3 linked regions of the Oreochromis niloticus genome follow. The protein of the gene in region 2 purifies or fractionates together with the protein of the main gene of each other region. This does not show direct contact. Links are inferred from orthologs where the notes say so. Each region holds a gene or a part of one and is shown on either strand. Other genes may lie near its edges. The genes, in order: git1, nck1b and pdgfrb.

Evidence for each region.
Region 1: the proteins of nck1b (region 2) and git1 purify together in Homo sapiens (affinity purification with mass spectrometry; 4 studies listed by BioGRID and IntAct, with this or other methods). This does not show direct contact. The link is inferred for Oreochromis niloticus from reciprocal best matches to the Homo sapiens genes NCK1 and GIT1.
Region 3: the proteins of nck1b (region 2) and pdgfrb purify together in Homo sapiens (affinity purification with western blotting; 3 studies listed by BioGRID and IntAct, with this or other methods). This does not show direct contact. The link is inferred for Oreochromis niloticus from reciprocal best matches to the Homo sapiens genes NCK1 and PDGFRB.

What each region holds. Positions count from the first base shown.
Region 1 is NC_031979.2:10,581,355-10,585,182, forward strand, and holds the start of git1 (ARF GTPase-activating protein GIT1), read right to left. Parts: upstream 2,854-3,828; 5' UTR 2,763-2,853; exon of another isoform or gene 2,661-2,762; 5' UTR 2,437-2,660; coding exon 2,385-2,436; intron 2,333-2,384; exon of another isoform or gene 2,154-2,332; intron 1,435-2,153; coding exon of another isoform or gene 1,419-1,434; exon of another isoform or gene 1,296-1,418; intron 1-1,295. Other genes in the region: ankrd13b (ankyrin repeat domain-containing protein 13B), read left to right, coding at 1,419-1,434, 3,814-3,828. UniProt on the Homo sapiens protein: GTPase-activating protein for ADP ribosylation factor family members, including ARF1.
Region 2 is NC_031974.2:17,862,711-17,866,538, forward strand, and holds the start of nck1b (cytoplasmic protein NCK1), read right to left. Parts: upstream 2,665-3,828; 5' UTR 2,392-2,664; intron 1-2,391. UniProt on the Homo sapiens protein: Adapter protein which associates with tyrosine-phosphorylated growth factor receptors, such as KDR and PDGFRB, or their cellular substrates. Maintains low levels of EIF2S1 phosphorylation by promoting its dephosphorylation by PP1.
Region 3 is NC_031966.2:25,212,979-25,216,578, forward strand, and holds the start of pdgfrb (platelet-derived growth factor receptor beta), read left to right. Parts: upstream 1-1,081; 5' UTR 1,082-1,659; intron 1,660-3,600. UniProt on the Homo sapiens protein: Tyrosine-protein kinase that acts as a cell-surface receptor for homodimeric PDGFB and PDGFD and for heterodimers formed by PDGFA and PDGFB, and plays an essential role in the regulation of embryonic development, cell proliferation, survival, differentiation, chemotaxis and migration.

The sequences.
Region 1 (3,828 bases), on a different chromosome or scaffold from region 2:
GTGTAATAAATATTAAAAAAAACTCCCACAGGCTAGGCTATCTGCCTGGTCTGCTAAATCAATATGAGGCTATGCCATTAAGCTATTAGAAGTGGATAGACTATTAGCAGTGCTGTATTGGTGAAATCTGCAGCATGTTGCTGCATAATGTTGCCTAAAGTTGGCCTAATTCATCAATCCAGTATAACATTTGTTTTTATACGTGTCAGCTAACCCTGCACAAAAACATATGCTACAAATGAGTGCAAGTTTTTAAAATTGTGTTACACTCCACTCTCAAACACTGAGATAACATGTTGCACACATCTGTATACTTTGGCCATTAACGGGTTAGCTTCAGGCTCATTTGGTGTATATCACAATGCATTTTAATACAGTGTTTAATTGTACTAAGTTTCAGCTTGCCGGATTTACTCCATCTTACTTCTAAATTTAACCAAACACAGCAACAACAGCAAAGCCTGACACGGACACCAACACAACATATCGACTCAACCCCGCTGTTCTCTTCTGTGAATAGTTGCACAAGAGTTTCAGTTTCCTAAACAAATGCATCTGTGCGCAATAAAGAGTTTACTATAGTGACGATGTGATTCACTGTTGCCATAAACTGTGCAGATTGCCATGGTGTGACATTAAAGGCTCCTGAAGCTTGGCTACGAAAGGAGTATCAGTCGTCCTTTGTAGCAATGCCATTGAGTTATCCCCCCAGTATGACACAAAGCTGGGTAGTAGGGAGGTGGCCTGTCACCAGGGGGCTAGGTCAGCATTTTGCAGAAAGCACTGCGTGCGTGTGTGTGTGTGTGTAAGTCGCAAGGAGGCTACATGCAGAGAGATGATGGTTGTAGAAGAAATGCACGGCTAGTAACAGGTACGCGAACAAGCCATCTACCATTGTGAATGCCTTATTTTGTCTAGTAAATAAACTAAAGCTTTAAAACATAACTAATATGTCACAGATAATGCGCATGTTGTTATTCTGCAGGTTAATATAGTATCAACGAAAGGAGTTCAACTGGGGTTTCATCAGTATGTAAAAAGTAACTCAAAGGGAACCAGAAAAGGCAAATAGGTGCTGAAGCATGTTAGTAAGTAATAATAGCAAGGTGTGCAATGCAAGGCTGGACTGCAGCATATAGACAGTTTAGAGTTATCAGGGGTCGCAGCTGTCATAAGAGCAGCTGCTGCACATGTATACATGAATGAATGCAAGCAAGGCACACAAGATCACCAATGATCAAGGGGATCGAACTGAAACAGCACGTGCATTTGGGGCTACATACGAAGGGTCTTATTAACATTGCCTCTAATCAGATTTTAACAAACACAGATGGGGCCAAAGGAGAAGTGGGTTGGAAACTAACCTAGAATTATGGATGGTCACTGTAGTGGAAATCACTACGCCCTGAACAGTATGGATGAAAGCTGAGACAGGTGAAGCTAGAAATTAACTTTGTGTTGTACTAGGTTAATGTAACTGAGGTGGCTTTTAAATGATTTTGAGGTACAACTACAGGTATGGCTCATTTCAGGTTTATGTTGAATTGTGCTCCAACTTAGGATGACTGTAAACTGAATTTACTCCTATTAATTCTCATTATTTTATTTCTTAACTTTACTGTAGATATTCTAAAATCATCAAGTTAAACAAACAGAAACTCTAGTTACGTTTTTGATACTTTACTGTATTTTTTAAGCCAAATTGTTGTTAAAGCTATTGACTGGTCGCTGACGCTTTAGCTGAATCAGCTTGGCAATAACTTGGCGTTTAGCAAAAGTTAGCTGAAGTAGCTAACGTCATAGCTAAGCTAGCAGTATAAAAAGCACAAACTCCAAAAGCCACGGGCAAGTGCTAACAATATGATAGCTGTTCATCGCTATAAATGTATTATTATATCTCAGGACATTCACTCTACCATAAATTCTTCTATCACACAGCTGCATAGTGACTCAAAATCGCCAGCTCGCTAGCCAAGCTAAGCTAACGTGTTCGGAAGTCTGTCCCGGTCACGAAAATCAAAACAAACGTCTCTTCGAGTGGGAAGGCAGCATAAAGCTGACACTCGGATCTTAAATTGCCCCAAATAAACTGCTCGTTCTCACATATGGCCGTGGTCAAATAAATATACCTATCAAGTTATTCAATGGCTTACATTAACGTTGAGCAGCTGTTAGCTAGAGATATTCTCCCGTTGTGGCAACACGCCTATTTTTTCCAGTGTTTATTTTGGGCCTAAACGACGCTTTGGAGCCCTGGCCGTTTTCCTGCTCTGCAGACCCTCTGACAATGACAGCAACTTCGGCCTTGTTCTCCCACCACGTCGCCCCTATCGACGCATTGTTCCAGTCCCATGGTCTGTTTTCTCTTTTTTTCTGTTCCTTACCTGGCGCACTGCAGTCAGCGCAGACTTCTGTTCTTTGTAGCTTTCTCGACATCTCGAAAGTGGATGAAACGGAGAGGTGGATGTCGGCGATGATGTGAATATTCGCCCGTCTTCCCCCCCGAGCTACAGACCGACGTCTGCCGTCAACCGATGCGGCCCCTGAATCCCCGGAAGCCGGGTGGTATGATCGGCTTTTCCCCCGGCCAGCTGACGACGACTGAGCTTCCCGTTAATTCCAGCGGTCTGTTCGCCCACGTTCGCTGATGAACTCCAAGACTGGATCCAAGTTATGTGAACATAGTTAATCTGTTTATATAAAGGATCTCATCTCGGAATATTGCTACAGTAAATCTGTTCCCTGCATTGCCTGCAACTCACCGAGAGACGGCAGCTCTTTACCTGACAGTATCCGCGCTCGCGCTCACTCACTCTGACACACACGAGCGCGCACACACACACACACCCAACATCCCGACAACTTAGGACAGGGAGGGACAGGGCGTGATGATAACCTTATATTCTTAAAGGTGAGGTGGTTTCGATAGAGTGGGACTTAATCACAATCTAAAATTCATGCTGACAGAAAAGTTACTTGATGTTAATCAGCATTTAGATATAAGACACACACTGCTCCATTTAAGCAGAAATATCGTGATCACCTTCTCTGACCTCTTAATGAACATTCAATGGCTGAGCAGCTTTAGCAGTCAAATGAAACATTAAAGTGCTATTGATTTATTGGATTTATCTGTTTCACTTTTCTGTCGTGTCGACAAGAAAAATCTGCTGTGAATAACGCAGAATAAGAGTAGAGGAACAAAAAGAATCAAGAAGTTTGGCTTTCATTTCAACTTTGATGAATTTTGTCTTTTGCTGTCATGTCGTGCGCTCCCCAGCCTTCTCCACAGTACGCCCACACCTCCTTTATAACACTCCTATGCTATGTGGGCCTGGTTCACTTTAAACGCATCATTTCGATTTCTTTTTCTTTTTCACAAGGCATGTGTTTTATCAGAGCCCTGACAGCGGATTGGCTGAGTGTGCGCCCATTTCATTGCAGCTTGTCAATGCATCTTTCTCAGTCACCACCGGATGGGAGGAGAGGAGGAGGATAGACGCGTTAGAGTAGGCAGGGGAGAAAGAGAGCGAGGAAGAGAAAGCGAGAGGAGGAGGAACGGGTGGATAAGGAATAAAGGTGTAACCCAATCTACTGACACAATCAAGGGAGGGCTTTTCTCCCCCCTTATCTTTATTTCTAAATGATTTCATGGGGCTTTTGCGTTTATTCTAAGCAGAGCGAGCAGGGAGCCATCCACTGTTTCTGACGCGTAAGGTTGCCCTACACGCCTTTGGGCATCACCGCCGATGCAGGATGATAGGATTAATTGTATAGCGTAAATCTGTGACAAAGTATTCTTGCGATCCACAGTGAAGAAAGAGGAGG
Region 2 (3,828 bases):
ACTTTGCCAAACCCACTGAAAGAAAACCCTGAACCATAATGGACCAAGAGAAAAAACACTGAAACTGCACACTTCTCCTACTCGACACGAGGAAGTCAAATCATTTACTCCCCAAAAAAGAAAAAAAAATAGAAAAAAAAAAACAAAACAGCAAATACAGCCGGGACAGTACACTTTTACAAAAGTTGGAAAACTTAGTCCAAACAAGAAACAATAACTGGGCACTTCCTTACGACTTTGCTTTAGTAGTTAAGCTGAAATTTCTCCTTTTTCCCCCCTTTTTTTGGTTTCAGTGTTTTGCTCATTACTCGCCTTTTTTGCCCTTTGCCAGGGCACACCAAGCAGAAGCTGTTGCTCCGTCATGTTCTGTCACAGTTAATGTATACAGAAAACGTCTGTTATTTACTCTTCAAACATCTGCATGCATGAGCAGTCGGGCACAAAAAAAAAGAAAAAAAAGAAAGAGGAAATGGAAGAGAATGTATGCAATAACAGAGATTAGGGCGATAACATGCAAAGAGGCAATTGCGGAAAAAAGAAAAAAAAATTCCCCATTTCTCAACTTCATAAGAAGCCCAAAAAAAAAAAAAAAACCAAAAAAAAAAAAAAAAAAAAACAGAAAGAAAGAAAAGTGACTTTATAAACTAGCTTCTGAGCTCTGAGGGAAATTTTAGCCATTGAGAAAAGCGCAGTTGGTATTTTACCCTGGGCTGCGAGGACAGATTTGGCTGCTGGAGGCCACTGGTAGCCGGACACTCGGAAAAGAGGAAAGGGCATAGCCAAACAAAAAAAGGATAACGCCTTCATACACATAAGATTATTCTGTCATAAAATCCAAACAAGAGCACCATTATAGTGTGGGATGTATGACTATTACAGGAGTACACAAGGAGTATATCTGAGTGAAGGAACAGTCCTCACTTCTGCACAGAAGCTCATGACATGGCAGCTGACAGGTGCAAATTTTTAAAATAGTTTGCCTAATTGCAGTTTCCATGTGTTAAGATGAAAATCAAATGCAAGCCTTCAAGTACGAAATGCTGATAAGAATGGCATCACCATTTCTTCCTGCAAGCTGTGGATGCCCTCTCTGTGACTCCAACTGAGAAGAAAGCAACAGCAGAGCAAATGCCTCTCTCTTCCTCCTCCGCCTCCTCTCACCTCCTTGAAAACTAACTTGTGACAATAATTACAGAGTAATTCTTAACCAGTCGCTAGTATTTGGTTGCAGAGACGTGCAGGCTACTCCCATAAATCGCTCAGATATAATTAACCACAAATCATCAAATAAATACCTGCAATACAAAAACCTCAAGCTGGAATAATCTGTTGAGTGTTGCACCAAATTTTGTAAAAGGCCACACAAACAAAAGCCGCAAGGGCTCGCCAGGAGTTATACAGACGAACTGCCCCATTGTGCTTCTAAGAATGACATTTAGTCTAGCTTGGGTTGTGTAAGGTAGAAACAATGTTACGAGATAAACAAAGTGTGCAATTACCCAAAATCTTGCCCAAAACAAGATCTAAGCGATCCAACTAGGTATATGTAAGCTCAAATGCGTTTTGCACGTATTATACAGGTAGATATTTATCCACAAATTGAGTTTAGATAAAAACAGAAAAAAATAATTCATTGTTGTATGTTCTCCAAGGTGGAGATTTCTCCTGCATTTTAAATCTCTAGGACAGAATACCTTTAGGTTGCGCACTACTGGTCCAAATAAAGGGATACCAAGCCAACTGGGTATCACTGGGTGAACATTGAAGTGATGGACCGGCTATGACTAATTATGGCTACTTGAAGCAAAACCCAATACTAGTGAACCACATCGTGACCACGACCAAGCGAGTTCAACTCAGTACGCAATTGAAAACTTAATCCTAAGATATAATAAGAAAAAAATAAAGCTGCATTTAAGTATAAACTGTAAAGTGGATCAAACGGTTTAATATCACTGTGGCTTCATTTAATTGTCATTCTTACAAATAGAAGTGTTTACGTGGTGCCCGCTTGAACGAAAAGAAGTATAAAGATGATAAAGAAGTGTAGCAGTTTTGGTGGAGTTTTTACCTTATAACCTGAGCTTGACAGCGTGTCACGCTAAAACGGCTAACATTAACCTGGCTAAGAAAATTCTCCCATATGCTTTTAGTGGTTACAGCCAGACTAACCGTCTGCCAGCTGGGTAACAGTATGCTGACCATGCTGGCAAGGACACTAGGTGTTTTTGTCTCTCTCTCCTTTTCTTTTTCAGTCTAGGTTAACGTTTAGCTGTTAGCTTGCGTGAGCTTTAACGCTGGAGAACCGTTATTGCAGCAGTCTGTATCACAGAGCTTCACCATCAGCGGCAGCTCAGATTCATACCCTGCTCTAGTCATACCACGTCTTACCTGATTCCTGACGGCCACCTCTTCTTATGTCCTTTTGGAAATATGTTAAAGGGTTACACACAGCAGCTGAAGATGCACGGAAACGGCATCCAGAATCCTAGCTAAACAGCCAGGGTTTTTTTTCCCCTTTTTTTTCCCCACTCCAAGAAGCTAGCCTAGCTGACGAGACGCCGTGCCCCGTTGGAATAGCATTTCTGCATCAGTGCATGTCATCGCTCAGCAGCACGGCTAAGCTAACTAGCCGCAGCTACACAAGCAGTTCAGACGCTCTCTGGGTCCCGCCTGCTGCCACGCGATTGGCTGAGGGAGAATCTGGACTCTGTGATTGGACAATGACACTGTCCGTTAATCCCACTGCAGCTGCTGGTGCTTTGCTTTCCCCTAAGCATTCGTCATGTTTTTCTTCTCTGTGAGGGTAAAGAATCGATCAAATCTCTACCATTGATAGACTTGTGTATGAAAAGAGAGATGGAATGTGAGTCTGACTATTGCATCACGTATTGTTTAATGTTTTGGTATCCAAAAGAAAGATAAGTAGTGAGAGGGACTTTAGCACAAGACCCAAACTATAATTTAGGCTAGTAAAAATTGATGTTCTGTAGTATACTTGCTAAAATAAAATACATTTTAAAAAAAATAACCAGGTGATACTATTTAGTGCAAGCTTGCCCTTCAGCAAGCATTACGTTAAGTGCTGCCTACGTGTTTTTAGTATATGACAACTGTAGTTATCTCGGGATTAATAAGCATTTCAAAGAAGTGCCCAGTCATCACCAACCGTGCAATACACAAAAACGAATCTACATAAAGTAACTCGTCATCCAATCCCATTCGGGCTCCACATGTGAAATGATGATACATCTATTAAACGTGTCTGTGGTGAAGAGACTTGCAGAGTAATTTGGAAGGCTGTGCAACTCGCTGCAGGATGCAATCTGTTTCCTGCTCAAACAGATGGGCCTGCCCTACATGTATTCTGTGATCTGCACCCAAAACAAGACTATAATACTGCATGTATAGTGGATTATAAACCCCACCTAATACTTCTCTTCACTTTTTAATATAAATTAGACTAATTAAAATAAAATATGGCATGGTGGAATGTGTTTTGAGTCACTTTCTTATTAGCTTGAGAAAGATTTTGTCCACATTTTCGCTGCAAATGGATCTAGCTTGTTGTTTTAGTCATTTTGTATTTATTCAATAGTAGTAGATTGTCATTACACAGACGGATTTGATTTACTGCTTATATTGTTGCTGTAAAAAGGGTATAATACTTGTACCATGACATTTATCACCTATTTGTGTGCAAAAAAGTTAATTAATCAATAGATTGTCATCAGCTGTGTACAGTTTCAGATCAATTTGCTCCATCAATATGCTTTCATTTCTACTGCATACGCAAAACATTAGCTTCCTGGCTTTCTGAAGTAAAAT
Region 3 (3,600 bases), on a different chromosome or scaffold from region 2:
TGCATTGTATCAAGATGCTAAAATTACATGTGATAATAAAATGAAAAGACCCCCTAAGATTCTAGCATCCTGTTATTATCGGTGAATTTCTGCGGGTGTTTCGACAGAGTTCGTGTCTTATCTCATGCTGATAAAGGATTGTGTGTGCATGAGTGTTTACATACGTGACTGACGAGCACGTTATTGCTGTATTACTGCCTTTTTATCTTTTGGGTCTACAGTTTTATTGACATTACAAGCAATGAAACGCCTACAAATAGATTCAAGAGTTCAAATAAGTGGATTTAGAGCAGGTTTATTGCAAGTAGGTGCTAATTACATAGGCAGAATTAGAAAGATATAAAAGGAGGAACTGTCCCTGTGTGGTGTTCCTCCCCTCCTATCTAATAACTGGAGGGGGCTTTCTGGCACTCTAATTAGTGCGAGCAGGTCTTTTAGATTTGCCCTCTCAATTAGAGGAGAACATGTTAGTTTCCAATTTAGCTCCTGTTCCCCTCCGCCCCCCGTCTGCCCCGACCTGCTTGTTAGATAGAACAGGTCTTTATTCAGCTGCAGTGCTGCGTTCTGAATCTCAGATCATCCTCTCATATCCTGGGAAAGGATTGAAATAGGAAGAAGGCTAGTATTGAGAGCAGACATATTTACATGGTTTTGCTTGTGTTTATAAAAGAGAGGATAAAAGGCCAGGGAAAAAAAGGAGAAAGAAGGGGGTGAGGATGGTGGGAGGTGTTGAGTTATTTCATGCAGGGGAAAAAGAAAACACTTGAAAAAAAATATGATATAAAAAGAGATGTAAAAAACAAAGCTAGTTCACTAAAGTCCCCTTTAACCACTTTTATACCTGTTTTTAAGAGTGTGATTATATAAGGGAAGTTATTTTTCCTGAGAAACTGAGACTTCCATGTTTGTTTCCAAAGCAGGGTGCAATCAGCGCTGCCAAAACCTTTTTTTTTTTCTCCTGGCTGGACCACTCACTCACTCTCTCACTCTTTCTCCTCCTTTTTATTGTGTTTGTTGTTTTATGGAGGGGGTTAGATGCGGTCCAGATTGCCGTTGCCAATAGAGACTGTCTCAGTTCACCTCCACTCCATTCATAAACAAATCGCTCCGGCTCAGACCTCTGAGCCTCTACCTTAGAACAACAAGCAGAACTGGATTTGTATTTTGAAGTTTCGTCACTCTGTTAGAAACTTCTTGCTTTCTGCTTCAGCTCTGTTTCACTGCTCCCTCCCTCCTCTCCCTCGTCCTGCTCTCTCTCAGCTTCAGCAGGGGTGGACACTGACGCTCTGCTTAGTGTGGATCTGTCAGGGGTGGAGTGTGCACAGTTTGTGTGTGCGTGTGTGCATGTTTCTGTGGGGAACTTTTTTTTTTCTTAGAACACTCTTTCTGAGTGTGAGAGTGGAGAGAGAGAGAGAGAGACACCCATGGTGATGTGATTTGACTAAACAAACAGCCGGGCTCACTGCAGTACCTCCTCCAACGGACTCCTGGGACAGCAGAGATTAACCTCAGAGTGAACATCAGAGGGATCTATACATTTGAAGCAGCAGCCCCTGTAGAGACATCTCACTGGAAGTCTCTCCAATTTCCTTCTGCTGGCCGACAACCTTCTTGGTCAAAGAGGAAAGATTCTTCTGTGCTTCTGGGGTTCGTCTGAAGGTAAGAAGCATACTTCTCTGTCACCATCAAGTATTTTAGTATAAGTTACAGCTGCTCCACATCTGCTGGCAGAAGTAAAAAAGGGCCGTGCAAAGTGGGGAACATTCACTTATCCTGTATGGGAAGCCCACTGTGACAGATTGAGTTTCACAGCCATCTGACACAGACGCACCTCATCCTGAACACTGGACCCAAGTTTCGTATAGCTTTTTTAAACAAAAAATCTGATTTGATTTGACAAGAGAACAACCTGTAGGTCTTCGTGATGTTGTTGCTGTCTCTTGCTGGTGTTCGTTACCCACATACTTGTGTGTGTGTGTACACAACAGCCATTGCAACGCTGCGTGAAAGAGCGTAAGCAACCTGTTCAAACATCAACATAGTGATGGCTTGCATCTCTGTACACAGCAACTGTTTGACACTTTCACATTGGACAACTTTAACATTGTTTATTTTCCCACTAACAGAATGCATTTGACAAGGTGTCCCGGGGTCTAGTGTACACACAAACACAGTAGGGTTTATAGTACAAGCTGTTTGTACGCTCTCCACTTTGTGCTTCCCTGCTAAAGGGCTTGTTTGTACAGCCCTCTTCAGTCACCCAGAGTGGCGGTCCTCACCACCAAACCATCGGTCACTTTCCTCCCTTTTCAATCTTCTCTGCATTGATTCATGAAGAAGCTCATTGAAGAGCCATGGCTGTGAACTGATATCAGACCCAGCGTCTATCACTGTCAACAGCATCCTCTTTGGAGGAAACATACCACCTTAAATTTATAGTTTTATGACTCAGTCTCCCTTTTATAATGTAAATATCTCGTAAAATCAATCTGGTCTCATCTCAAGAAGTTGAGAGCCGACATAAACAATCAGTTGAATCATTGCTTCCTGTTCATCAGAAGATTTTAGTAGCTGGAGTGAGTTATATTATAGCACTGTGAGCCATTTCATGGCTGTGACACATGTGGCATACATGTCTTTTCCAACACGTGTTTTGCACCTGAAAGCCTTCCCGCCTGACTGTTGTGTATGGTTGCTTTGGTATTTAAGTTGTTGGGTTGGGTAGCTGCACATCCATCTTCTGCATACAGGGGACCTTTTTGACATGAAACCATTTGAATTAGCATCTGCTGTAATCAAAACGTTGTTGGCATGTGTTTTGTGGATGCTCTTCTCCTCCTCTGCAGACAGGAGTGTCCTTTTGAAGTTTTTGATCTTCTCTGGCTCTGTGGATGTTTCACTCCGGGCACTGTCTGGCATTGTTTTTGTAGATGAACCGCTGGAAGACTGCATGCATGTCATACTTTTACCATCAATGGTGCTAGACTGCATTGCATTCATTTCATAGTTTTAAATTCAGTTTCTACTTTCACAGCACCAACTTATAAAACACTAAATCTGCTGTGACAAATCTTTATTGTAAGATTTGCAAAACTTAGTTTAATTTCGACTCTGACAAGTGGGGATTTTCCTGTCTTGCGTCAGGCTGCTGGTATGTACTCCAGCGGAGTGCTCCTCTCCGGCCCCGATGCAGTGCAGCCCAGCCGGCTCCATTCCCCCTGGCCCAGACCTAATCCGTCGACATCAGCTGTTTCCTGGCTCTCTAGGCTTTCTGCATGCCAGCAGCTTTGAGCAAATGTGCTTCACATTATGACCATGCAGAAAACATGCCAGGAGTCTGATTTAACTCACATGTGCAGATATGTAACATTTTGAGTTCAACAACAACTTTTGAAAAATACTGATCCCATTCTGTCCTCGTTTCATTTATCCTCTGTGATTTCAACTCAAAGTTGAGCAACCCTCATCTGAAAAAACTTGTTTATAGAGGAAACACTGAGTTAAAATACTTACACACTCTCACATCATGTTATCGTGACACGGATTGGTTCATTTTTCAGATTCACAGAACAAACTCTGACTCATCCCCTGGTGGACACT